4 linked regions of the Mytilus edulis genome follow. The protein of the gene in region 1 purifies or fractionates together with the protein of each later gene. This does not show direct contact. Links are inferred from orthologs where the notes say so. Each region holds a gene or a part of one and is shown on either strand. Other genes may lie near its edges. The genes, in order: protein smoothened-like, beta-arrestin-1-like, ubiquitin carboxyl-terminal hydrolase 8-like and cAMP-dependent protein kinase catalytic subunit 1.

What was found.
Region 2: the proteins of protein smoothened-like (region 1) and beta-arrestin-1-like purify together in Drosophila melanogaster (affinity purification with western blotting, with the first as the bait; 4 studies listed by BioGRID). This does not show direct contact. The link is inferred for Mytilus edulis from reciprocal best matches to the Drosophila melanogaster genes smo and krz.
Region 3: the proteins of protein smoothened-like (region 1) and ubiquitin carboxyl-terminal hydrolase 8-like purify together in Drosophila melanogaster (affinity purification with western blotting, with the first as the bait; 4 studies listed by BioGRID). This does not show direct contact. The link is inferred for Mytilus edulis from reciprocal best matches to the Drosophila melanogaster genes smo and Usp8.
Region 4: the proteins of protein smoothened-like (region 1) and cAMP-dependent protein kinase catalytic subunit 1 purify together in Drosophila melanogaster (affinity purification with western blotting; 4 studies listed by BioGRID). This does not show direct contact. The link is inferred for Mytilus edulis from reciprocal best matches to the Drosophila melanogaster genes smo and Pka-C1.

What each region holds. Positions count from the first base shown.
Region 1 is NC_092355.1:3,468,901-3,476,404, reverse strand, and holds the start of protein smoothened-like, read right to left. Parts: upstream 3,002-7,504; 5' UTR 2,957-3,001; intron 1-2,956. Other genes in the region: tRNA-splicing endonuclease subunit Sen2-like, read left to right, coding at 4,458-4,643, 7,134-7,255. UniProt on the Drosophila melanogaster protein: Segment polarity protein required for correct patterning of every segment. G protein-coupled receptor which associates with the patched protein (ptc) to transduce the hedgehog (hh) signal through the activation of an inhibitory G-protein.
Region 2 is NC_092346.1:87,676,418-87,683,795, forward strand, and holds the start of beta-arrestin-1-like, read right to left. Parts: upstream 3,015-7,378; 5' UTR 3,000-3,014; coding exon 2,941-2,999; intron 1-2,940. Other genes in the region: serine-rich adhesin for platelets-like, read left to right, coding at 3,495-3,512, 3,694-5,028.
Region 3 is NC_092354.1:81,313,043-81,320,590, reverse strand, and holds the start of ubiquitin carboxyl-terminal hydrolase 8-like, read left to right. Parts: upstream 1-4,528; 5' UTR 4,529-4,664; intron 4,665-7,548. Other genes in the region: LDLR chaperone boca-like, read right to left, coding at 228-384, 4,172-4,360.
Region 4 is NC_092344.1:92,210,965-92,218,325, reverse strand, and holds the start of cAMP-dependent protein kinase catalytic subunit 1, read left to right. Parts: upstream 1-4,339; 5' UTR 4,340-5,009; coding exon 5,010-5,247; intron 5,248-7,361. UniProt on the Drosophila melanogaster protein: Serine/threonine-protein kinase involved in memory formation. Promotes long-term memory by phosphorylating meng and by regulating CrebB protein stability and activity.

The sequences.
Region 1 (7,504 bases):
TATTCAAAGAGGCCAAAAAATTGACAAGTCGTTCATCCAAAAACAGGCTTTAATCAACTATCATGTCTATAATGCAAAATATGACAGATTTTATGAATGAAATTCTCTTTAAACTTTGACCTTTAAATATGACACTTAAATAGATATAATTACTTATTGACTAATTGCCAAATACTGGATGCCTCTACGTTATGACCTTTTGAGCACTTAAAAAAAATTGTCATCAGGACATCAATTCAAATTGTTTCAATTGTTATAAAGAATAGAGATATAACCATGATAACTGAGAATTTCAAGTCTTCAAACTGACTAAATTAGAAATGAAAACACACATACATTAATAAGCTGATGCTGCAAATCATTGATACCTGTTCATTGCTGTTCACGACTTCTGTCTTTGACAGTGAAAAAAATATTCAACCAATTTTTAAGTCCTACACAATTACCAAAATAACAAGAAAACAAATTACATGTATGAATCCAAAGGACAGCTTGTGATCATTCTTCACTAACAAGACTAAGGGGAGCCAGACTTACCATTGGAATATTTATTATGAATTAATGAAATGAAACATTGAACTCTTATAAAAAAATTATGACCTAACTTGAGAAAAATTGTTTAACGCATGTTCTTACACCTCAAAACTTACACAAGTAAATTTTTGAGAAAATTAAGGGGAGATAATTCAAACATTATAATTAACTTATATCAGTTTATAAATTATTATTTATTTCTACTTCTTCAAGTAAATACAGATTACTTGTACAAGTAGTACCCCTGACTGACTATTAGTTTCCTACAAAAAAATCTAGATATACACTGAACTCCATAAACTTTGACAAATCTCAATTCTCAGATATATTTTTTTGTAATATAAAATCGAAGATCCTGGAAATTTGGGTTCAAATGTTTTTTAAGAGTTTGGTTTGTAAATTTAGTTTAGAATATCCCTAAGTGAAACCATTTGAAAAAAGAAGTAGGTTATCATGGTTATTGTCCTCACTAATGGAACCCTAACTTATTTTATCACTACTTTTGGATATTTCTAAAAATACAAGAACACAATACATGTAGGTATAGAATTTTTAAATATTCCAATTTTTCTGTAATCATTCACTGATGATTATTACATTGCAAAATTAAGAACAAAATTTCTATTAATTTCTAAAAATAATAATATTATGACATCGTAAGAGGGCAATAATAATATTACGACATCGTAAGAGGGCCACACAGCAAAATTAAAATTATGTCAAATCTAATTATCAACCTTTGGTATATATATTTATTAATCATATTTATTGATTGATGTTTAACACCACTTTAAGTGCTATTACGCTTAGTCCAAATAAATATGATGCCTTGAAATGCTATTTTATTCTTTTGTTTTGATGTCCATACATCTACATTTATACTATTGATCTGCAGTGTAAATCCATACTGCTGTGCTCTGCAGCGGAAATCCATACTGCTGTGCTCTGCAGTGGAAATCCATACTGCTGTGCTCTACAGTGGAAATCCATACTGCTGTGCTCTGCAGTGGAAATCCATACTGCTGTGCTCTGCAGCGAGGATTAATAGCAAAAAAAAAGAAGTTTATAATTAGTCATTAACCAGTCAAGGGTCTAACTTAAATAAGTTATCAGAGAAAAATAACATGCATGTGTTATTACAGACACTTTCATGAGTTGTCTACTCTTTTTTCCTTAATCTGTAATAACATAATTATGTTTGTTATCAGTTAAATATATCATAAATATTTTATCTTTAATGGGCACTTGGGAATTCTTTAAACTTTGCGCAGTAGTTTAATATATTTCCTTGATAACTAATTTTTAATTCCATTAATACAATTTTGATCAACCATGGTAAATCAATGAGACAAGGCTTTTAAGGGAAAACTAAACTGTAATAACAAGGCTTAGTTATTACAAGCATAAAACTTACAACATTGTATATGAGAGTAAATGAGACACTTGGAATCTTGCACAGTGCCTCATTACAAGCTCTATCATCATTTCTTACAATAAATTGAAATACATTGTTATGCAAGACTGTAAAGAGATATAGACATGATAGAGAAGCTGTAATAACACCCTTTGGTTATTGCAGGAATATATTTTCTGTAATAACATAGGTGTACTATGCATGATTTCTAAACTATGAGCTGTTATATCTTTGCAAAGGTTAGTATACTTAAAGAAAATTATAATATCAATAGAGCTGGAGAAAAATTTAACAAAAGAAAGGTTAACGTTGTATATTTCCCCTTTGAAACATGTAACATACATATGTTATCACAGTTTTTTGATATTTTAGCTCACAATAACAACATGTATGTTATTTTTCTCTAATAACTTATTTAAGTTAGACCCTTGACTGTTAATATAACTATATTGTGCTATTTCATGGGGTCAGTTTTTATCCTTGGAGAAAACCAGGGTGCAGAGAGTCATTGTATTATGAACATTCGTAGGTAAAATTACTAACCCTGTTTTAGAGCCAAACTCACAACCTCAATATTGACAGACTAGTGATACAGTAGACTATACATAGAGACTAAGAAGAGTATACCCTTATTTTCTATTTTTTAATTTTTTTAATTGAATAACTTCACATGCATGACATGTGATAACACCCTATTAATATAAAGAAATGTCAGTTTCTTTTGTGTTTTTAAATGTCTCTTTTCAACTGATATTTGCATCAAGCAATACACAATAGTAGTCATAGCTTCTAGATTTTTGAAGTTGTGTGAAAATCAACAAAGACCAAGGTGAGGTCAACCATACATTTTTGGTCAGTTTCTCTACTTTGTACTCGCTTTCAAATCAAACTACCCGCCATTTACTAACATAAGATAATATTGATTGTAATCGATAATCTGTTAAACACTTTGACTATGTAAATAAGTCAATAAAATGTTGATAAGTAGCCAACAACCTGTGTTCTTACCTGACCTAAATTAATCCATTGATCACGTGACAATGCTGACATCCGTTCTCAATATTAACCTCTACATGTGCAATGAGAAATATTGGTTTGATAAACATATGGCTAAAGAAAGCGTTCTAAATCAAAACAAGGAGATTAATTAAGTAATAGAGACAAACTTTTCAATATAATTATGATTTTTGATACATTTAACAAACAAATAGTGTTTAATAATAAAAGGGGGAAGGGCTATGTACATATTAAACAGGTCAGGAATAAACACCAATTGGTGGATTATACCTCAATTGACGTATAATCCACCAATTGAGGTATATTGGTATAGACCAATTGATGTATAATGCAAGTTTTTTTTGTAATTAAATGCTAGTGTGAGATAGGAGCATGATTTTGCAACTTGCAACCTATTTCATAACCCTTATTGAGTCCTCCGAAATTTCAGTTTTGTCAAAGCCTGCTGCATCTCTTGAGAATGCATGTGTACAACAATTCTTTTGTTGAAACATTTGTACTATTGACCATGATTGACTTTTGATAATGAAGGTCAACTATTAACAAAGAGCACCATTCACCTGTGGAGTTGTACACATGATCACATGACTGCAGACAGTAATGATGTCCATTGACAGGTGATTACAGGTAAATTTGCCAATCAGGAATTGACAAGATAACAATAGAAGAAACTTCAAATACAATTATCGATTAGATGCAATATGTTATGTCACTATACTAAACTAGGAATGTTTGACAAGTTTTCATACCATAAAATGGTTTTAAGAAAACAATGCTCCATTTGGGTGGAATAATTTGTTTTGAAAAACAAAGAATTATACACCAATTGGTCTATACCATTATATGTCAATTGGTGGATTATACGTCAATTGAGGTATAATCCACCAATTGGTGGTTATTCCTGACCTGTTAAAAAAAAGAGAAGAAAAGCCAAGTACAGAAAAAAATTAAAAGAAAATCTACAATGTTACATGATGACATGCTCTTCATGAGTTTACCACCTAAACACGTCAGGTGTACTTTATATAGTATCTTTTGTTATTCGGATGTACAAGTAGTTGAAGTACCAATTAGACTATGTTGACTTTGTTTTTGTAATATGTATTTCTATTTGTATCTAAATGGTAAGTTAAGCCTTTTCAACTGATTTTATAGTTTGTTCTTATGTTGTACTGTTACACCACTGTTCTGGGTAAGGAGAAGGTTGGGATCCAGCTAACATGTTTAATAAGGCTGTTAGTTTGAATTGTTTGAATTGTTTTACATTGTCATTTTGGGGCCTTTTATAGCTGACATCCATGGGATATGGGCTTTGCTCATTGTTGAAGGCCATACAGTGACCTATAGTTGTTAATTTCTGTGTCATTTTGGTCTCTTGTGGAGAGTTGTCTCATTGGCAATCATACCACATGATAAAAAGACAAACAATAATTTTCCAAGCATAGTAACTATTGCTTTCTATTCAGGTAAAAAAAAGTTTCTATTTGTTGGTATGGCATTCTCCAAGCTGGTTAATCCAAAAAAGAAGAAAAGAGTACATGCAGCCAAAGAGTCACCATTTCCAGTTCCCATAGCAACAGAACAGTATGAGAACACATGGTTCTACTACACAGGCTATCTCCATGATAACCACATAGAAATCAAACATAGTGGAGATATTGACAGACTGTACAAAATGGTGAGATCCTAAGTAAAAGTTTTACACTTATTGTGTGTTCAAGTTGCATTTATATATTGTGCAAGATTTGTTCCATGAAAGGTCCTTGAAGGACCTTTATATTCAAATAAGGAGATGTGGTATGGTTGCCAATATGACAACTATCCACCTGAGTGTATTTGAAGTAGATATACTTTTATCATAGGTTTAGTAGTAAATACAGTAGTTTTGAATATTTGATAAATAGCTTGCTGTTTAATCCATATCGCGCAACTTTGATTTGCAACCTTTATGGCATACCCTTTATCACACCCCTACCCTTTATCGCATACCCTTTATCACACCTTTACCCTTTATCACACCCCTACTTTTTTTTTTTACATGAAGTCACTTTTTATAATGTAAACTTAAGAAATATTTTTCCCTTGGGCTGATATTGGTGTCTCGGGATGATACAACATATGATACGGATTTTGCCATGTATTATTCTCTATTAATTGGCCACTGTACAGACATCAACAGAGAAAAAAACCCATACCCATTACCCAAATGATGGCTGCTCAAGGGTTTCGATATGAAAAATGTGTATCAATACAAATAAATGAGAAAACTATTTATAAGTACAAAAACAATGTACATATAAAAAAGAAGATGTGGTATGATTGCCAATGAGACAGCTATCCACAAAAGACCAAAATGACACAGACATTAACAACTATAGGTCTCCGTACGGCCTTCAACAATGAGCAAAGCCCATACTGCATAGTCAGTTATAAAAGGCCCCGATAAGACAATGTAAAACAATTCAAACGAGAAAACTAATGGCCTTATTTATGTAAAATTTATATACATGTACATTTACATATAACACTTGTATTAATAATAATTGTTTATGGCATAAAGTTGTTATACAGCATACCTTAAAAATCAGCTTCACTATTTTTTTTTTTTTTCCCCAAGTAATTAAGGTTAACTATTCAAAGGAATTTATAGATGTTCCTTGTTAACTTGACCAACTGACTCACAAACTGTTTTAATACTGTAAACAGTCGGACAACTAAAATAATTTAAATATCTTAAATTTGGCTTTGAAGAACTTTTCATAATCTTCAAAGATTAAAACACTCTCTACCTAATTTGGTTACTAATTGATTTATTGCATAATTAATGTATTTTTATGCCCCACCTACGATCCACCTACGATAGTAGAGGGGCATTATGTTTTCTGGTCTGTGCGTCCGTTCGTCCGTCCGTTCGTTCGTCCGTCTGTTCGTTCGTCCGTCTGTCCCGCTTCAGGTTAAAGTTTTTGGTCAAGGTAGTTTTTGATGAAGTTGAAGTCCAATCAACTTGAAACTTAGTACACATGTTCCTTATGATATGATCTTTCTAATTTTAAAGCCAAATTAAACTTTTGACCCCAATTTCACGGTCCACTGAACATAGAAAATGAAAGTGCATGTTTCAGGTTCAAGTTTTTGGTCAAGGTAGTTATGTTTCAGGTTAAAGTTTTTGGTCAAGGTAGTTTTTGATGAAGTTGAAGTCCAGTCAACTTGAAACTTAGTACACATGTTCCTTATGATATGATCTTTCTAATTTTAAAGCCAAATTAAACTTTTGACCCCAATTTCACGGTCCACTGAACATAGAAAATGAAAGTGCATGTTTCAGGTTCAAGTTTTTGGTCAAGGTAGTTATGTTTCAGGTTAAAGTTTTTGGTCAAGGTAGTTTTTGATGAAGTTGAAGTCCAATCAACTTGAAACTTAGTACACATGTTTCTTATGATATGGTCTTTCTAATTTTAAAGCCAAATTAAACTTTTGACCCCAATTTCACGGTCCATTGAACATAGAAAATGAAAGTGCATGTTTCAGGTTTAAGTTTTTGGTCAAGATAGTTTTTGATGAAGTTGAAGTCCAATCAACTTGAAACTTAGTACACATATTCCTTATGATATGATCTTTCTAATTTTAAAGCCAAATTAAACTTTTGACCCCAATTTCACGGTCAACTGAACATAGAAAATGAAAGTGCATGTTTCAGGTTAAAGTTTTTGGTCAAGGTAGTTTTTGATGAAGTTGGGAGTCCAATCAACTTGAAACTTAGTACACATGTTCCTTATGATATGATCTTTCTAATTTTAAAGCCAAATTAAACTTTTGACCCCAATTTCACGGTCCACTGAACATAGAAAATGAAAGTGCATGTTTCAGGTTAAAGTTTTTGGTCAAGGTAGTTTTTGATGAAGTTGAAGTCCAATCAACTTGAAACTTAGTACACATGTTCCCTATGATATTATCTTTCTAATTTTAATGCCTGATTATATTTTTTTATCCAATTTCATGGTCCATTGAACATGGAAAATGATAGTGCGAGTGGGGCATCCGTGTACTTTGGACACATTCTTGTTTTAAAATGTCTCGTATACATTCTTTTTCAATTGACAATTATCTCCCTTGTATTCTTAAATTTTTCTACAAGTTTTGTTCAAAGGATTTGCATCTTTACTTTTAGGGATTTTTTGGAAAAGGTACTTTATCCAGAAGTAAGCCAGAATTTAATCAGCGCTTCAAAACAGTGGCCATTCCAAACAAAAAAGGGGAGACAATCAGTGCAAGAATTATGAGTAGGAGAAGGTAAGTAAATGTCAATTACTCAGAAATATCAGAGAAGGACCTATTTATTGTAGTAGTTTATAGTTCCAAAGCTGTTGATTTTTGTAATGGATAATTCTGTTATTTTAAAGGAATTAACCTTTGAGTGAATTTTGATGAATTATCTCCCATGAAGACTCTTTTAACAGAGAAAGCTAATTATTTATTAGTCTCCTGCTGATGAAGTCGAAGGGGACTTAAGGTTTGCACTCTGTCAGTCTGTCTGTCCAC
Region 2 (7,378 bases), on another chromosome or scaffold:
TATATGTAATATAAGAATATACTATTCAGTTCGCATGGATAACGCTATGATGTTTAGAAAAAATATTTCAATTTCAACGTGCAATTTATCGGTTTGTTCTACGTTACATTTTAGCGTTGACTACCGATAACGACGTCAAATGCGATAAGGGTGGTTTTTGCTTGACGGGCGTCATATATATATGAAGAAAAAAAAAGAAATGATGTTGCCTTAATCACAGGGTTAAAAGAGTCAAATTCAACTTGGTTTTGTTTAAGAAGCTTTCTGAATTTTAACATATCATTTGATATACATCTTAGGGATTCTGGTCGCACTGATTGTCAATAATCATTGACTGAGATTGTATGTGTAGTACCATGAAATTCAAAATCTCGTGCAGTAATACTTGGCAACGAATTAAAATATGAATGGACTTTTTATTTTGTGGTCAAGACAAGTCCATTCCCTTGCGATGAAAGCCTAATACCAAATATGTAAAAAGACAAATATATGCTTCGGTTACATCAACACTGCTTTGTTTATAATTCAAAATTTGAAAAAACAAAAGACTTCCTCTAATCCTTATGTTTTTACACACATGAGTGATTCTGTACTGGAATCATTGTAACTTTTAAGTACAAAATCAATAACTTCAAGTGAAAATCCTTTCTGTATATTTATTGATCAGAAGTCAGAATGAACTTTTGAGTATCATGATTTATATCTGCTGAATATACAATACTGACTCTTGAGAAATCTGGTTATCATGATTTTACCAAGATCTATATGTCAAGGCTGAGTTACATTACCCTTGGTGGTATGGAAGAAGGCCTAATAAGTCAAAGAACAGTCAGAACTATGTCTTGATAACAGGATGAGCTTATGACAGACTGTGGAGGTGCAATAAGACAATGAATTAGTCTGAACTATGTCAAAACACAGGATGAGCTTATAAGGGTCAGAGAGAAGGTGCAATAAGTCAAAGAACAGGCTGAACTATGTCTTTATTACAGGATGGACTTATGATGGTCTGGGAGGAAGTGAAATAAGACTATGAATTAGTCTGAACTATTTCACAATAACAGAATGGACTTGTATGCTACAAAATTTTCAATTCAATCAAACTAGAGGCTCTTGAAAGAGCATGTGTTGCTCACCTTTTTTGTTTGTTTTGTCTATCACTTCTATAAAGAGTGACTGTCTATTAGCTATATTATTAGAAATTGACTTCATTGTAGAACTTGCCTTGTTGATCATTGTAATTTTAAAGTTTACATGTACTGATATAAGGCAAAAAAACCCAAAAAAGTAACAGTTGTCATCAAAGGGCAATAACTCTACAAACTCTAATAAGGAGTTGATCGACGATGAAAACTCACACCATTTCTGCCCTTGTCAGATTTTATCTATTTATAACAGTTTCCAAAATAATTGACAAAACTTGCATTTCACCCCTTTGTTCTATTATATAGCCATGTTGGCCATTTTGATTTGCAAATGGGGTCATTGGACCCATTTTGTAAGCTAGATCCCCATAATGATGATTGTGGCCAAGTTTTGATTTTTGGTCCAATAATTTTAAAGAAGAAGATTTTTGTAAAAGTTAATGGTGTATGGCTGAAAATAAGAGACGATGGACGCCAATAGATGAGAAAAGCTCACTTGGCCTTATGGTCAGGTAAGCTAAAATTCAGAGATCTGTTACGGTGACAGTGTTACCTTCATCAATTAAAACTATAACCCAAGTATACAGAAAAGAATCCTTTAAACACTTGTCTTAAAGAAATATTTTAAGAGTTGCTGGACTACTTCACAGTGCAGGAATAAAATACTTGTAAATTAACTATATTGAATCAAAAGTTCATTTATTTTCAGGGTACTAATTTTTCGTGGATGAAGGAAAACTTCCATGTTCATGTATATCTAATTTTGTGGTTTTGGCAAAGTCTTCATACACGCCATTATAAAATTTGTCATTCGTTGATTATTTAATTTCTTGTTTCACCTAAATCCACAAAATCCACAAAATTTTGTATCCACTGAATAATAATGAATCCACAGGGTCTAAAGGAGTAAAATATCAGAGAAACCTACTAGTGTTTGAAGTCAATCATTAAGCACATGTTATCACACACACTTACATGCTTCTTGATGTGAACTCAAGAGGCAAGAGCTAGGTTGTTTATTTCTAATTAAGGCATTTTAAAAAGCATTGGATGAAGGTCAAAGCGACTATAATTTGCTGAAACTGAAACTGCATCCCTATACACCAAGTAAAAAAGTATAGTTTGATTTTGTTTTGTATGCCCAGGGATCTCCATGGATGAAAATTGAACGATGGAGGAACTTTCACCATTACAAACTGTGTCTACGCTGTACAGTGTAGCGCGATCGGAAGTATTTTATCCCTCCATACAAGGAATGGTGAACATGCTAATTCATTGCTTATTTAAATTATATTTATTTGAATTTTCATTATAGAATTAGAAGCATCAATATTTTCATTTATTGCCGTTTTTAACCATTCAAATGCCAAGTCTTCATGGTCCTCCCTTAGTCGAAAATGACCAAAAGCTGTCATGAAGGTACCCATGTAGATTTCTTGTATTTTTGGTAATTGTTATGGGGGTTAAAAATCATATGATGTGGAGCTTATTTTTCATGGACACTGTCAAATTCAGAACCCATTACCGGTATGGCTGATTTCCAGCTACAACAAAACGATGAAGTTTTGAACGATGGCGGAAGACAATTTAACGATGGCGCAAGTCATTTGACGATGGCGTAAGTCATTTGACAATGGCGCAAGTCATATGACGATGGCGCAAGACATTTGAACGATGGTGGGGCGCCATCATTAAACAGGCCATTGAGATCCCTGATGCCATATATGGTCTAAAACCAATTAGAATATAAATCAGAGAACATTACAACATGATACATGCCTCAATAGTAACCTACCTCATACTTTGTTCCATTATAATTTCAGTATCTATCTCACTTAATGAATTATACACCATTTTGACAAACTGACAATATCTCATACATGTACATAGAAGTACAGATGCTGCATTAATGCAAATGAATATCCAGCATATTTTGACTTGTGACATTCCTATTTCATTAATTTTTCACAACTTATTTGATTTTCATAGTTCATAATTTATCATGAAATCAATGGAAAATGTCAACATAATTTTGTTTGTTGGTTTATTGATTTGTGTTGTCTGCTTATGTAGTGTCCAGTGTCAAATATTTCATGACTTTTCATCCATGTTTGTTGGGACTTAACTTAACAAATTAATGTGTAGGAATTGAATAATAATATGATTTTTTTTATATATACATGTATGTGTTGACTTTATTAGTTACTTATATTAACTATTGTGCAGCCAACCAAACTCTTGTGAATGCAAAAAAAAACGGCTCTCAGAAAAAAGTGATGATGGCACAGACCATGAAACAAATACCAAATTGTTGGGAATGATATAAGACATAGTAGTAATTCTTAAGTGATGATTGTAGTAATCCTGGTGTGTTGACAGCTACTAGTAGTTCTTATAAGTTGACAGCTACTAGTAATCCTTGTGTGTTGATAGCTACTAGTAATCTGTATGAATTGACTGCTACTAGTAATCCTTATGTGTTGACAGCTACTAGTAATCCTGATGTCTTGACAGCTCCTACTAACAAGTATTCCTGATGTGTTGACAGCTCCTACTAACAAGTATTCCTGATGTGTTGACAGCTACTAGTAATCCTGATGTGTTGACAGCTACTAGTAATCATGCTGTGTTGACAGCTACTAGTAATCCTGTAGTGTTGACAGCTACTCGTAATCCGTTTGAATTGATTGCTACTAGTAATCCTGGTGTGTTGACAGCTACTAGTAGTCCTAATAAGTTGACAGCTACTAGTAATCCTGATAAGTTGACAGCTACTAGTAACCCTGATGAGTTGACAGCTACTAGTAATCCTGATGTGTTGACAGCTACTAGTAATCCTGCTGTGTTGACAGGTTCTAGTAATCCCTATGTGTTGACAGCTACCAGTAATCCTGATGTGTTGACAGCTACTAGTAATCCTGTAGTGTTGACAGCTACTCGTAATGCGTTTGAATTGACTGCTACTAGTAATCCTGGTGTGTTGACAGCTACTAGTAGTTCTTATAAGTTGAGAGCTACTAGTAGTTCTTATAAGTTGACAGCTACTAGTAATCCTGATAAGTTGACAGCTTCTAGTAACCCTGATGAGTTGACAGCTACTAGTAATCCTTGTGTGTTGATAGCTACTAGTAATCTGTATGAATTGACTGCTACTAGTAATCCTGGTGTGTTGACAGCTACTAGTAGTCCTAATAAGTTGACAGCTACTAGTCATCCTGATAAGTTGACAGCTACTAGTAACCCTGATGAGTTGACAGCTACTAGTAATCCTGGTGTGTTGATAGCTACTAGTAATCCGTATGAATTGACTGCTACTAGTAATCCTGGTGTATTGCCAGCTACTTGTAATCCTGGTGTATTGACGGCTACTAGTAATTCTGATGAGTTGACAGCTACTAGTAATTCTGGTGTGTTGACAGCTACTAGTAATACTGATGCATTGACAGCTACTAGTAATCCTGATGAGTTGACAGCTACTAGTAATCCTGATGATTTGACAACTACCAGAAATCCTGATGAGTTGACAGCTACTAGAAATTCTAATGAGTTGACAGCTACCAGTAATCCTGATTTGTTGACAGCTACTAGCAATCTGAATGAATTGACTGCTACTAGTAATTCTGATGAGTTGACAGCTACTAGTAATCCTGATGTGTTGACATCTACTAGTAATCCTGATGTGTTGACAGCTGCTAGTAATACTAGTGTGTTGACAGCTACCAGTAATCCTGATATGTTGACAGCTACTCATAACCCTGATGTGTTGACAGCTACTAGTTATCCTGATGAGTTGACAGCTACTAGTAATCCTAATGTGATGACAGCTACTAGTAATCATTATGAGTTGACAGCTACTAATAATTCTTGTGGTGACTTCTACTGAACAAACATGATTTTGTTAATAGCTAATAGTAATCTTTATTAGTTGACAGCTACTAGTTATCCTAATGTGTTGACAGCTACTAGTTATCCTAATGTGTTGACAGCTACTAGTTATCCTAATGTGTTGACAGCTACTAGTTATCCTAATGTGTTGACAGCTACTAGTAATTATTATTTGTCAATTTGTGTACAGCTACATGTACTAGCAATCAATATGTGCTACATGTAACTGCTACTAGTCCATAAGCCTGGGGTAATCAAGTTTATCTTAGGCATTCTACAGAGTAGTATCCATTCAAATTAAAAAAAAACATTACTAACAAAATGAAAAAATGTAATTGTATTTTAAAATTGATTAGACTTAATTAAATATTGAGCAATTTCAAAGTATAAGTATATATTTTCAATAGAGAAAGAGCTATAAATTAAGAAGGTACGTCTATCTCTGTCACTACCTCTCTAATGTCTGTAATTATATAAGGGAAGTGTTTAAAAATTTGTCTGAAGTTTAAATCTAATAACTATCCACACTGTACCATGCTACTATCTACATCATTTGGTCTCTGGTGGATAGATGTCTACTTATTTTTTTTTTATTTCAACACTGGTTATCTTGACTTTCTATTAAAGTACAAACCATCACAGCTTGTATCTGCAAGACTATTATAATTATTGTGTGGAATAATCAAGCTTGAAATGATTGTCAACTTTATTTAATATCTAAGATTTGACTTTGGTTTTCAGTATACAGTAAATTGTATCTTTGTCCAAATAATTCAATAAAGATATGAATTTTTATTTGTAGATCTGGCTATAGACAGTTCTGTTTGTTCAACACTACAAACAAACCTAAAATATAAACCTATGGTTGTGGTGGCTAATATGTTCATCTATATATATATATATGACACAGATATTTAATAATGGTCCATGGGGGGGTCCAACTATATGTTCCCATTTAAATGCATTGATAGTCCAAAAAAAGGACCCCAGAACCATCCCCCTGGATCTGCCACTGTTGTCAGCAAATGCACAATTTGTAACAAGTAATTACACAGCTGTAAACAATTACAAAGAAATGATTTAGTTCATAAAAAAACTATATCATTTTCCCTATTTAACCATTTTTAATTAATTGTTTGATCCAAGTTGGGTTTCCACTTGTCCATTGGTTTCTGATAAGGTTTCTGATAAGTTTATTTACCCTTTCTATAAGGTCAATGGCAGCTCAGTAAGATGACACATGCTACATGATGGTAATGGGATCTAATAGCCAGGCAGTATTATTAGCTTAAGTCTTGTAGTAATGCTTATCCCAATTTGTCTTAGAAATAGCAGTTCTTTGCCATTTAGCACATGTCAAAGATTTAATGTTTTACTTTAATTGAATAATGAATTTTAATCACCTGCGTATATTGTTGATATTTTTAGATTGTTACAATAACTACCTTCCTGACATGCTTTTCATGTAAACACCAATGTGCGAATGTATCCTCAAGGTTTCAACAAAAGGATATAAGTCTAGATCTGTTGTACAGTTAATAGACTACGGTATTTACCCTTTTTCCGAAGAAACAAAATCAAATACGAACATGAAACAATTCATTCTAATATTTTTATTAATATGTATGTACTTTTAAATATAGTTTGGGTTAAATGTGTAACCACTCTCATGAGGTTGTAAGAATTTTTAAAGCATAAGGATGTACAAATGTTCAACAATTTTGTTCCTGATCTTAAATGTACATCTGTTGTTGAGAAGACATCTATAGATTTGTCTGTATCATCAATAATCAGTGAAGTAATAGACAACTTTCACTCTTGATTATACTCACACAACTTGTCATTACCTTTATTAGATAACTCTGATGGTGTTTCCTCAAGTACAGTAAATGGCGGAAAATTGATTCCATTTCCTAGTGAGACACCAAGAGAATTCAAATGTTTCATCGTTTAGCTTCAAAAGATGCACTAATAAATTCTACCAATATACTGTAATACCATTTCTATCATACATTTTGAAATGCATAAAAATCTGTTGTTGTTGTATACAAATGTTGGAGAAAGATATGCATATTTTAAAAATATGTATATGTACTCATGTAACATGAGATCTTCCTTAATTTAGTCTTATTACTGTGCCTAACCGATCACCTTTGGGGTATTATAATACCTACAGTGTTACCTGGATAAAAAATTGTCAACACAATTTGTCCATTTAAACTGTACAATAGGTTTTGTGAGAGATTATCAATAGGTGGTCATTTAACTACCTGAAAAAAAAATTTAGGGCAAAAAACAACCAGGTAAAATCTACAGGTAGTTAAATGACCACCTATTGATAATCTCTC
Region 3 (7,548 bases), on another chromosome or scaffold:
CTGACAACTCCATGGCTAAAAATGAAAAAGACAAACAGAAAAACAATAGTACACACGACACAACATAGAAAACTAAAGAATAAACAACACGAACCCCACCATTGGCCATAAAATAAGATGTGGTATAATTTTCAATGAGACAACTCTCCACCAGAATTTGTCTTTCCCATTTCTCAGTAATAACAGAGTATTAATTTTTTATATATATTTTGGGTTGTCTCTCTAACCTGACACTGTAGCAAACATCATTAAGGTTTTCCCTTTCTTTGACATTTTAATCATTTCTTCTGGTTTACTTGGGTCTAACTTTGACATATCTATTTTGGGTGGTTCTCGTTTCCATTCAGGAAGTTCATCTTCTTCTAACTCGTCCTCATCATTGTCCTGAAAGGTAACCATGGTAACCATTAAAATTAAAATGAACTAAGTATGTGAAGACGTTAAAAATAATCTTAATATGTTTAAGGCCACACTTTCACCTGTAACATGTATAATGGTTTACTTATTCAAATTGTGACTTGGCTGGAGAGTTGTCTCATTGGCACTCATACATTTGTACAACATGTTCAGATATACCACATAAAAAAAAAGATATTTCTACATGTTCTAATTTATCCTCACCTGCATAATGATGATCAAGAAGACACTAAATTAACTTTAGTAGTGCAGGAATACAGCCGATCTCCTTTATCTGGTAAATGATGTCATAAAGGCGCTAAGTGACAAACTTTTCTAATGAAGCCAAAGGACATTACTCAAAAGTGGTCTATTGAATTATAATAGTATTTTGCTAATAACTTTCTATATCAATGAAGAACTTTTTCTGCTCACAAAGAATAAAATAAACTGGCATTTTCAATTTTTAAAGGTGTGAAGTTCTTTTTACTATCTGTCTCACAAATTCAAATATCTACATTCTTAATCAAAAAGACCATAAAGAGCATATAAATCAACACAAACAACACATGCAATCTAACTGATTGCTGAAAACTAAATATGATTTAAAACAAATATGGAAACATGGTCATGACAGTAGAAAAAAAAATCCAAAAAAAATCCAAAATTTCCCAAAATTTTCATTGTACTAATGAACTCAAAATCGTTAACTTTTTTTTGTCACTTTTTTTAATTCCTGTATTTACGCAGAAATTGAAATTCTTCCTTTTTCCGGTCTCATTTTCATGAGACTTCGAGTAAAGTATATATCTATTAGTCTAGTAAAATGTAGGATTGGAAGGAACCGACCCACATCTTCCAATCATATACCTACATGACCTAATCAATACCAATTTCATTTTTAATATGAATAAAACTTTACCTGATGATATCGTTTCTTTGTTTACATTGAGTATGACGTCATAACTTAAATAATGTCACAACTAAAATCCCTAACAGCACAACCACAATCGGAATGGTATTTCCGTTTCTTTTTTTTAACAGATTTTGAAGTTTAAAAATGTTTGAATTGGGAGAAAAAAAAATAATACAGACTTCGTCCCCTCTCACAGGTAATGCCTGCCTCTTATTTAAAAATGTATGTACATGATAGTAGAGAGCCAGTACAAAGAGGAATAACTATTTATCAATTGTATCTACTTTTAGTCTCTTTTTTTCTTATCTGATCTGGAAATTTTTATTCTCAGATCTGCAGTGACATCACAACATGTAACTGACCAATCAATGATTAGCATTTTTGTTATGTAAACAATGTTGATAGGTGATGCGGATAAGATTCCTCTAGATTTTCCATAGACTTATTGCAAATTAATTTAATTGATATATATCATAACCAGTTGAATATAGTAATTTTACTCTTTTAATACTGTTAAAGGCACTATATACTACCTCCATTTTGATTTTTAACATACTATAACCTCTGGTTAAAAAATAATCGGCAATATAAATAATCAGTTATCCCCTTCAAATAGATGAAAAATCTAGAGGATTCCGGATTTCATCACCTCCAGACAAATGTAAATGCCAGGATGTCCGGATCTGAGAATTTAGGTATATAAATCTGTATTAAAAACTAAATCTTCATTTGTCATTATCCAGATAAAGAGATTTTCTAAATTTATGATTCTCAGATTTAGAAACTTTTGAAATAAAAAAAAACTCTGTCTAATTAAGAAATAATTCATGGAAGCCATAGATTATTGGAAATTTACACATGGCCTGGGCCGTGATATTCGAATTTTATCCTGAGCGTTAGCGAGATTTTTCATCTATTTGAAGGGGATAACTGATTATTTATATTGCCGATTATTTTTTAACCAGAGGTTATAGTATGTTAAAAATCAACGTATCAGAAAACTTTCAACTGTAGCGTTTTCATTTGTATGACGTCATGTTTTGAAATGACTTAAATGCGCCAAAAACATTTAGGAAAAATTAATTCTTTTAGTAATAATGTCCCAATTAAAAGAAAATTTGAAATTTGGAAAGAGGAGAAAAATCCAGAAAAATATATATCACCACTAGGAAAAATGTACCAACAAACTGAAGATATGAAAGATACAGAATTGGTTGATATAGACAAGATAGAACCGCAGTATGAATACCAAGGTCTAGTATCAGTCATTAGAGCCCCTGACTACTGGCGTAACATAGGCAGCTCAAAATCCAGAACAACAGCCCAAATAGAGGAAGGAAAACAAATCATCTCGGAACAACTCCAATCTCAAACACCAAACACAGCAGTTGCTTTTACAGATGGGTCATGTTTAGGAAATCCAGGCCCCTGCGGTGCAGGAGCTATAATTTACATTAATGATAAAGAAGAAAAATTAAAAAGACCTGTCTCTAACAAAGGATCAATCTTGCTAGCTGAACTTATAGCAATAAAAATGGTTCTGGATTACATAGAATCTTTTTCAAAAGAGCAAATTAATACTTTAACTTTATTTTCGGACAGTCAGACAGCATTAGGTATCTTAACTCTCAATTGGAAAAGTGACAGCTATCATCAAACCATTAACGAAATCAAAGGGAAAATAAAAAATTTAAACGAACATGGATTTTTAATAAACTTAAACTGGACACCAGGACATGCCAACATAAAAGGAAATGACGAGGCAGACTCCTTGGCAAAAGAAGCTGCTAAAGAAGCAGAAACACTAGCCGTTGATGATATAGTGTTTACAAAACAAGATGTAAAAAAAGCAGCCAGAAATTCTGTTACAAAAAAATGGCAACGCAGATGGGAAAATAGTGATACTGGACGTCACTATTTCAGATTTCATCCTGAAGTTAAAGATAAAGTTAAAAAAGACTTCCCGTCAAAAAAAATGTACAACATAATCAACAGTTTACGAACAGGTTATTCTAAATTAAATGCATACCAATTTATAATAAACCAGCACATCGACACGAAAACCTGTCATCACTGCAAACAAAAAGAAAATGTACAACACTACCTTTTTGAATGTGACCTGTATTCAGATGCCAGAGACAAATTATTTCATCAAATATACTTCATAACAGGACAAATTCCAACAGATCTAGACAATTTATTAACAATCAATTTGCCAAATGCAGAAAATATCAATCAACTATTAGCGGAGTACATAGAGGAAACAAACCGTTTTAGTGGATAATTTGATACAAATTTCTTTAAATTTTTTATATTTTTAATTTTTCATGCCATTTCAATAACCTAATAAACCATTTTTTAAATTTATTTCACTTCATACAATAATTCTATAATATTTTTAAAGCGCCACCTACAATATATAAGTTCAAAGGAGAAACTACAATTGTGATAATTATTTTACAAGAGAGGATAATTTACAAGAGAGATTACTCTGTCATCACGACAAAGATTGAAGATTGAAGACATTAATAGACTTTCGCGGAATTTTATTTTATTTTTATTTTGTTGGTTTCTCCGAGTTCTTGTGCATTGCTTCTTTTTATTATGCATCCGAATAAGAATAAAAGTGATTTTGTCTTTTTTTAATTGCAATTTTTAAAACAATAAAATCGGCAAAGGGTTTTCAAATAGGTTTCAATACATGTGGATTTACGTGGGAAGTATATTGTAACAGCCATTTTTATGTACACCACGGAGTCTGCGCTAAGTATAGATATATCGAGAATTTTATCACAGTGTTGTTTACAAAGCGAAAGAAGCACATCATATTAGAATGGGAAGTAAATTATAACACGTCACCTCCCACTGATCAAACAGTCGTTCTAAATCAGCTTCACTGTAATCACGAATGTTTTTCTTCTTCCATTTCTCGTCTTTACCATTTTTTGTTTCTTTTTCGTCTGCTTTATTACAAATTGAAAGCAGAATTAAATTGAAAACTATGAAAATAATAATGTAAAACTGAAAGTTTCCTCCTTTCTCCACCATATTGAAATGATTATTACAAAATACAAATTTAAAAAAACGAATAAAATTGAAAGGAAAGATTTTATTTATGTTTTGTTCCAAATAGATAACATCTCATAAAAATATTATTTTAGTCTTTGAAAATTGATATCACTATCATGAATGTATAAAGCATATATATTTTTGTTTAGTTTCGTTTTGTCTAAGAATTTGTACATTGCATTATGGGATATGTTGTGACTGGAAGTGAAATATTCCTGAAAATGGTCTAGGAATACCTTAATTCTAAAGAACTCTTATATAACATCTAGTTGCTTGTTTTGTGGTAAATGTTTTTCCATAAGATTTCTTTCTAGATTTTTAAAATGTTTACTACTGACACTTTTCTCCAAATGTATTGGTGGTTGTGCCTGTTTGGTTGTACATTTGTAATTAACTCATGCAACTCTCACTTTCAGTCTTATGTACTTGTCTATATCCTGGAGAAGAAAGATACAGACTTATTAAGGAGTACAATAATAGAAGACCAGTACCATTCAAATGGATCAGCACATGTTCCAATAAGAGCGAAAACTAATATCTCGATAGCGTCTGATAAGATCAAAGGAAAAAAGTCAAAACAAAAACCATACTCAAATGGGAAGAAACCAATATAGGGTCTTATCAAGAAGCTATAGAAACACTACAGGAACATGGTAACACCACTGACTCTAAAGTAGACATAGAAGAACAGGCATTTACCATCATCAATATTCTATCCAACGCCAGCAATACAAATGTCAAGAAAAAAATAGTCTCTTTAAAAGGACCAAATTGGAAAGCCTCTGAGAAGGTTAAAGAGCTCATATCAAAAAGTAAGAATGCATTTTATAGCTGGAAACAAAATGGAAGACCCAAAGAGCAGGATAATATAGCATACACAGAAATGAAAAAATGCAAAAGAGAAGTAAGAAAACAAGTCCGCCAGGAAGATCATCTGGATAGCCAAAGATTTTACAATAACATGATGAATAATCCTGACTCAAAAACTTTCCACCGATTAATTAGGAAAAACAGGGCACAATCTGACAACTCAACAACACTAATAATAAAGGATACAAATGGAGATGATATTGTAGAACAAGAAAAGCAAACTGAAATCTTTGCAGAATTCTACGAAACTTTAGCAACTCCAGCTACAGAAGAACATTTCGACTCAGAATATATGGAAGAATGTGAATTTAGATACAATCTAATCAACTCAATTGTACATCAATCTGCCATCAATAGAAATGACATTACCAAATTTACTGAAGAAGAGATAAAAAAAGCCATCAATGAACTGAATACAGGGAAAACAGAGGATGGCTACTCCTTAACAGCAGAGCACTTTAAATATGCCGGTAATACAATATTACCAGATATTGCTAATCTCTTTAACAATATCATGCTGACAGGGACAATACCCGAGATATTTAAAACTGGCATCCTTACTCCTGTTCATAAAAAGAAAAAAGATCCAACCTTAACAACAAACTACAGAGGAATTACAGTCACCTCTGTCTTGGGGAAAATTTTTGAATATGCATTATTAGAAAAAATGCCTGACTTGAATGCTAATCAGACGGAACTCCAATTTGGCTTTACAACAGGTCTCTCACCAATCATGGCAGCTCTTGTTGTTTCTGAAGGCATACTTCATGCAAAACAACAAAACAAAAACCTATTTCTAGCAACCCTTGACAGTCAAAAGGCCTTTGATGTAGTACATCATATGATCCTGCTAGAAAAATTATACTATGAAGTTCCAGCAGATGTTTGGAAAGTAATTCAAAATCTGTACTCAAATATGTCAACGGAAGTAAAATGGAATAATCACTTCAGTAAAAAATTTCCAATAAAACAGGGAGTCAGACAGGGAGGTGTATTATCCACTCATTTTTACAAATCTTATATCAATGAATTACCAAAAGAACTAGAAAAAAGAGCCTTAGGACTATCAATAGGACTAGAATACTGTGGCAGCCCATTATGTGCAGATGATATTGTGCTGATGTCAACAGATGAAACAGAGATTCAAGCAATGCTTGATATAGCATATAAATATTCATGTGAACACAGGTACAATATCCATCCTCAAAAAAGCACTCTGATAAAGACAGAAAGAACGAAGTCAAAATATCAACCAGAAATAATCAGATTAGGAAATGAAGCAATACAAACTGATAACTAAGCAACACATTTAGGAATCATAAGAGCATCTAAAAACGAATCAAGAATAAATATACAAGAACATATAAGTATTGCAAGAAAGACTCTGTATTCTCTAATTCCAGTGGGACTAAATGGTAAACGAGGTCTTAACCCCAAAACATCTTACAAGATCTACCAAGCTTACGTACTTCCAAGACTGCTATACGGACTTGAAATACTGCCTCTGAATTTGACACAAATAGGAGAATTAAGGCAATTCCACATCAAAACTATCAGATGTTTCCAATCCCTTCCAATAAGAACTTCAACAGCTGCTGTATATATGCTTATTGGCGCAATACCAATTGAAGCTGAACTTCACAAGAGGCAACTTAGCCTGCTATATTCTATCCTAGCAAGTGAAAACACCAAACTAAGGAATCTAATGGAAAGACAACTGATTGTTAACTCAGAAAATCCAGATAGTTTCTTTCCAAGGGTCCAAGAAATCCTACAGTACTACAGCTTAACTCCAATTCACGAGCTAAAAGAAAAACTTCCAACAAAATTTCAATGGAAAAAACAAATTAATATAGCCATAGCCGATAAATGGACAAGTAAGCTACAAACCGATATGAAGGAAAAATCCACTTTGAAATTCTGCAATACAACAGATCTCAAAATTCACCAGACTCACCCAGTATGGAACTCTCTACCATCAGTAACATATGAGGTAAAAAAGGCACAAATCAAAGCCAGATTACTGACTGGTACATATCTTTTAGAATGTGACATACAGAAATTCAAAAGGGAACAAGAAAAAGCACACTGTACTCTGTGTCAGCTTGAAACAGAAACATTAGAACACTTCCTACTCAAGTGCCCAGCTCTGCACGAAAAAAGGCAAAACATTTTCCCGGACTTGAAGAAAATCATTATACAGTCTGTTGGAGATAACAAATGGAATGATACTTTCATAGGGAACCAGTCCTTAATAATTCAAATAATTATCGACTGCACAAAAGTAGCCAATGAAA
Region 4 (7,361 bases), on another chromosome or scaffold:
AGAAATGTCGATAGAGATAAAATCATGGTCACCGTGGCTTACGCAAAGGACATTGCAACCGAAAACTGCAAATAAGTAAAATCAGCTTGTTGATGGTCGCCATGATCTGAAAGCAGCCGAACACAACCCATACGATTTTCAGCAAGGGACACGCGTTGTGACATATACTTTTTACGAGTATTCAACATCCACTATTTATATATACGGTCACTAGAATATCAAAAGTTATATATGAAGAAGAAGAAACAAAAATTCACAATGACAATCCTTTCATAAAGTTCTTTTACTGATAGGTATCAGTATTATTGCACAGTATAAAATGACAAAGCAGCTATTCGCACTTTATTTGTTGATAAGGAAATCCTGCCATTTTATACTCCGATATCAGTGGTAGTACTTACAAATATCTATACTGCTTAACAACGCCGACCTTGTGTGCACTTTTAATGGTAAATATGTGTACAAAGTTCAAGTATGAAAAAGAATTTAACATTGTAGTATGAATAAATTGAATTGACGTAAAAATATTTCGTCTGAGACCTAACCCAACAAAAGTTCTTCCTTCAACAGGAACCAATCATCTGCAAGCACTGTTTTCAACTACCTGCATTGCTCAGTTAACTGCATGCGCCATATAAGATATAAACATGTTGTTTTTATAAAAATTTTGACGAGACGTAGTATGGTATACAAATGTCCGGCGTCCGTCCGTCTGTCTGCCCGTCTGTTCGTCTGTCTGTCCGGCGTCCACATGTCGCACCGTAACTTGAGAACTACTTATCCAAATTTCATGAAACTTGAAATAGTTGTTTCTTATGATGGTCAAACGATCTGTATACTTTTTGGTGGAAAATAAGATTTAAACTTTTTGATTTACGAGACTATATAACTGAAACGGGGTGGGGGTTACACGTCATGTCGCGCCGTATCTAAAAAACGATTTATGATTGTTGCTTAAAACTTTACACACTTCTTAGTTATATTAATCTAAAGATCTGTATACTTTTTGGTGATGATTCCAATTTTGTTTTAGATTTTATTGAGTTTTTTGTAAAAAAAAAAGGGGGGTGACATGTCGCGCTGTATCTCAAAAAACGAGTTATGATTATTGCACAAAACTTTACACACTTCTTAGTTATATTGATCTAAAGATCTGTATATTTTTTGTGATTTTTCAATTTTTTATTTTAGAGTTATTGAGTTTTTTTGTAAAAAAAAGGGGGGTTTTCACATGTTGCACCGTATCTCAAAAACTATTTATGATTATTGCACAAAACGTCACCACCTCCCCCCCCCTATTTTATCCTTGGTTGGACACCTCTTTTAGAATTGGCTGGATCCACCCAACTACACTTGATTTATGGATGCTTAATTGTGTATAATGACTACTTGGCAGATCAACCAATACAGATGGATGTTGCGTGGAATCACTACCTTGAATATTTATATTGTATACGTCTCAATACGGGACAACTTTTCGACAGGTATTCTCTATTGGATAACCACCACTAAAAATTGAGACCAACAATGTTAGGTCTGCAACTTTACGGTATCATACTGCTACTGAACCTATTGTGGTATTAATAGCTACACAGGACTAGAACCATCAGAAATCAATTATATACATGTTTTTACTTCTGAAATTAAGCCCAACAATGTAACGCCCCGGCCGTTCACACAGTAAAAATTTACACGTGCACATAAACACGTGTGTAAAGTTGCCTGAGTATGTAAATGTAAGTATACAATGCGTTCACACAGGGACTTTCTATCCCTGGTTCACATAAATGTATTTGTTCCAATAATAAGTGTTTTCACAAATTGAACTTGTTCATTGAGTCAATTGATATCTAAATGTGATGTTCAAAATCGGCACGTTCATCCTCTTTATATAGAGCTGCAGATGTATATCTATTTATATATACAACTCGTCTAAACATCAACCCAACAATGTTAGATCTGTAAATTTGTTTTCGCAAATTATTTGTTCTTCCCTCGCCGGGACTCAAACCCATGCTACTGAGATATCGTGACACCAAATCGCCTGCACTGTAGCCGTCCCGCTAGACCACACGACCACTTGGGCTTCATAAAAATGAAGCTTTCGGTGGCCGGGTGTTACCTTTCCACGTCAGTTTTAATCTAGCGTCGTACTACAGTACATGATACGTATCTATTTATATATATATATAACTAGCATTTGGATGAACCTATATATATAGGGTAATCCAAATGCTAGTCCAGGGTTTTACATAACGGACCCACGGAAACAACGGTTAGGAGTGGAAATATGTTTTAAGCATTTATGTACCTTCTCTGTATCGCACAAACAGATTTTCACATTAGAGCGCTTTCATCAAATCACAAATTATTTTCAAATATTTTCGATATATTTGGTAAATCAAAATATGCATTCGTAATTATATAATGAGCCCGGAACTCGGCATGGGGTCTACAGGCGATATATAGTTTTCAAGAGTGGACCTTAGGTACCTAAATATTTCAACATTTTGATTTTTTCTCTTCTACTGGAAGGAAAAATCACCTTTATCGTTTGATTCTTCCTACGAATAAATTGGTGCATTACCTCCGTGTCTTGGTTTTTTTTTTACAATTTCCTCCAGTTAGTCATGTATAAGGCCAAAGACCACGAGTTGATAAAAATATGAAAAAACAGAGAAAACCAACGACTTGATTAATGATAAAAAACAACACAGAAACATACAAAAAATAAGGCAACCAGCAACCAACGACAACCACTGGATTACAGTATCCCGTGAAATTGTATATAGCCACACACGAACAAGTCGGAATGTCGCGGGGTTAATCATGTTTGTGAATTCTCAGCCCTCCCATAACCTCCAGGACAGTGGTGTACCAGTACTGTACATAATAGAACACATTGTAAAAATAAGTCGAAAAGGGACTAGACTCGACGGATTGGTACATTCCATCGTTTTTTACCATTAAATGTTATAAAATTCATTATTATCCAGGCAAACCTATTGGATTTATAGAGAAACTACTTTGTGGATTAATCATTTAGTTTGATACTTTGGATAATTTGAAATAACAACTTCATATCTCGTGTGCCTCATAAGAAGTTGTCTTTAATTTACTAACTTTTAATGTATTGTCCTTTTTGTTATGCTGCAGTGGAGGGGTTACTAAGTGTTATTCTTGTCCGTCTCAGTGTGCGTCCGTCCGTACACGATCGAGTACGTATGTACCAAAATAAAGTTTCGTTCTTTAACTTTAGTAAGTCTCAACTCAGATCAAGTTCAAACTAGGGTGGTGTCACTTTTACCGTTCGTGAGTTATGTTCTTTTATTACGTTCGTATATGAAAGCGGGAGATTCACTCATCTGTGTTCCATGGACACATTCTCCATTTTTTTATTGTTGCTGAGGGCATATCTGGGTATCCTCTATAAAGTTTTATCAGAACGTACTTTAGTAAGTCTCAATCAAATGTTAGGAAATATTACCACAAAACTCAGATCAAGTTCAAACTAGGGTGGTGTCACTTTTACCGTTCGTGAGTTATGTCCTTTTATTACGTTCGTATATGCAAGCGGGAGATTCACTCATCTGTGTCCCATGGACACATTCTCCATTTTTTTATTGTTGCTGATGGCATATCTGGGTATCCTCTATAAAGTTTTATCAGAACTTTTCCAAAATGTGATAAACAGCAAGCCATATGAAGACACTTGTCTGTTGTCATGATAATGTTGAAGGTGATATCTTGAACTTTACCATGTTTTTTTGTGTGTCGCTGACTTTCTGTTTCAAAACAAAGCCTCGGACAGGCAGCTTTCAACTATTCAGTACAGGAGTTGCTTAGCCTCATGAAAACTTAGGCCTATTTTTTTTTTAAACAACTAAAACTCAAAATACACTTGATACATGAATATTGCAAAACAAAATCTATATCTGACGGGGTTAAGAATTGTAATATGAAGAAGATAGAAAGTCTAAGATAAGATAAAAATTTTATTAATCTAATCAAGAACCCATAAAGGGCATCATTTTGCAACACAATATTATTGAAAAAAACGAAACAGAAAACTAATACCATACTATAACGTTATGGACAGGATCAGAGCCTAACACAACATGTGTTTTATATAACTATTGTAATAAATCTTATAACAATAAAATATTATATTATTTCATTTATTTTATGTATATGGTTTGTTATATAATATAAACACAGATTTAGTTTTATTGAAAATGAAGGACACGCGTAGATATTAAATTCATTTCGAATAAATCCTTTGTGCTTTGCAGTAGACAAGTATAGTATGATACCTTTACATGTGCCTCTTATGTGCTTTGTTATCAATTTGTCATTTACCTGAGAAAAAAAAACTTAAATATTAAATTTCGACATATGTTGTTCATAGGTAACGATAAAATGATGATATATTCGTCTACACACAAACTTTACAAGTGATTTTCTCGTCTAAAATTAGAAATAATGACTAAATCAGAAATACGGTGAATGAAACAACTGTCCCAAAACACGCCATGCGTAGTTTTTCAAATCCCGGCGACACTCATGCGTAAACTTTTGAAAATTAGGCCACTTTGAATGGTAAACAAAATATCTTAAACTTAAATTACACATCGTGGTTCGCATCTTATTACTAAAAGACCATCTTAAGGCAGGCAGGACAAACGTCTTGGAATGGAAGGGTGAATAATTTGACTTGTTAGCTGTCAATCACACTGGAAATATACATTTATTTCTGTAGTACGCAGTAATTTATCATTATATATAGTGCGGTTAAAACATTATGTGTGAATTCTACCATGTGTACACTAAATTTGGAAACAAATAATGGGAAAATAGGCTAAAAATATTTAAATGTACTTTGTATGAATGGATTGAAATGCACTCGCATGGATCAGATTTCGTGTGTACACAACAATGAGACTTTAAGGATATTTTAAGGAGTTTCAGTGTGTGACAAATTCTACGGTAATCTGATATTTTGAATAAAAATGGATTTCTTCTTTGACTTGTTTGACTCTGAAAAGAAAAGAAAAGCACAGCTTCAACAACAACAACAAAATCAGGAACAAATTCGGAATAGAACTGGGAGTGGAGGAGAACTACCCCCTCTCAGGAGAGACAGGGGTTACAGAACTTTTAGTTTAAGAAAGTATGATCAGCGTGAAACCAATAGAATTCGTGATGAACGTTTGAAAAGAGAACTTCATCGACTCTACTTGTGGGACAGTAAGTTCAAAACTCTATACTACATAAATACAGCTTAAAATTAGGTTAGTTCATGCGCTTCTTTTTCTCTTTACTACACATATTATAATCAGTTTGTACTTTCAAACTGCACACATCTGGTTGTTAGATATCATCAAGATACACGTGAAAAAGATAAACACAGAGCTCTTTTCGTTATGCAGTAAAAACAGTTGAAAAACTTTGTCAACATTGAAAATATGTATATTTAATTCAGAATTTATTCTACAAACGTATTGTACATGTTGTAATGATATACAATCATATAGATCAGTATTCATACGAATGAGGGGTTTCGGGGTTGAAGGAAATTTCTTAAAATATATAAATAAAATTTATCTTCAAAAAGGTCAAAACATTTTCTACTTTTAATGATAAGATTAATTATCACATGGTTGTAATCCTCAAAATATATTCTGATGTAAAGCTACCTGCATGGTCGAAATATAGTCACTAACTCATTATTATGCTTAGCATCTTCAGATAATGCTGTCATTTGTAATACTGCCCTACGGCGGTGTACATAATATATATCCATTCATTTGTCATCCTTCTGTGGTCCCATCATTGCGACTCATTAGGATAGATTTCATTGTTAAATTCTAATTTTAGCTCACCTTGTCCACAGGTGAAATAAATAGGTTTTGCCATTAAGTTTTGGTTACACAGAAACAGAAAACTGAAAAACAAAGTACTCATTTTGAAAGAACATCTCCTCTAAAATACGTTTTTTTCCTCAACATATTGGAAATTATTTGCCTATGTCCGATAGCAAACAATTTTTTTTAATTTTTAGGACAAGAACAAATTATTAATAACCTAGTATAAAAGTTAGGTTCTTCAGAAAAGGTCCATAGAAATGAATAACGATACATTTGGACTGCTACTATTCAAGAAAGTGGAATGGAAAGTACAAAAGTATTGCCACCATTGGCCACAGCTAACCTTCATGACTGTCAAATAGTTGTTTCAAAGGGCCCAGTAACCATGGTAACACATACACGTGGCGCTTTAAAGCCCCAGTAATACACACACGTGGCGCTTCAAATGTTCATTGACTCGCACTTGGCGCTCCAATGGTCAATTAACGAATACACGAGGCGCTCCAAATATCCAGTAATTAATGCACACACATGGCACTCAAAAAGTTCAGTAACACGCACGTGTCACTCCAAGTGTCCAGTAGCACAAAAATGGCGATCAAAAGGTACAGTAACACTGATTCGTACGTTGCGCTCCAAAGGTCCAGTAACTCGTACATGTGGCGCTATAAAGTTCCAGTAACACACATACGTTAAGCTCTACAGACTTAGTAACATATGTATACGCACACACTCCAAAGTTACAGTACCACATCCGTGGGGTTTTAAATGTCCAGTAAAATATACACGTGGCGCTCTTAAGGTCCAGTTACATACACACATACACACGTGGCGCTACACTGTGAAGGTTCAGGAACACACACGTTGCGCTCTAAAGGTCCAATAACATTTTTGAGGGGACATCTGACCTCTACTTCATGGACCATTGATCCATATTCATTATTAAGTGGACTTCCCAGTTCTGTTGAGTAATAAGTCAGCTAAATTTATGGAATCAGTGTCAGTAGTCTGTCTGAAACTTGACCTTGATCATATATTAAGTGTTCTTTGATCAAGTTAGCTGTTTGTACTGAGGTCAGTTTCTCAGTTACTATAACTGAAATCTTAAGTATACGGTCGATCTTATATAACTGGCCTTGACCTAATTTTCATGGTTCATTTAAAAAAAAGGAAAGAGTTTGTGTTTAGGTTTACGTACCAGTTTATAAGAAACAGGCTCTTTGCTCGTTGTAGAAGGCCGCACGCTGACCTATAGTTGTTTATTTCTGTGTCATTTTGGTCTCTTGTAAAGTGTTGTCTCATTGGCAATTATACCACATCTTCTCTTTTATATCCACTCATATTTGGTCTTTAGAAGCCTTGATTAGGCAATATGACTCGTTTGGCTTTGATCTAATTTCTGGGGTTCATCGATCAGTGTAACGTGTTCGTCTCAAGGTCAGTTTTTAAGAAAGTGCTTGTGAAAAGTCAACTGTTTATTCGATATTTTATAGA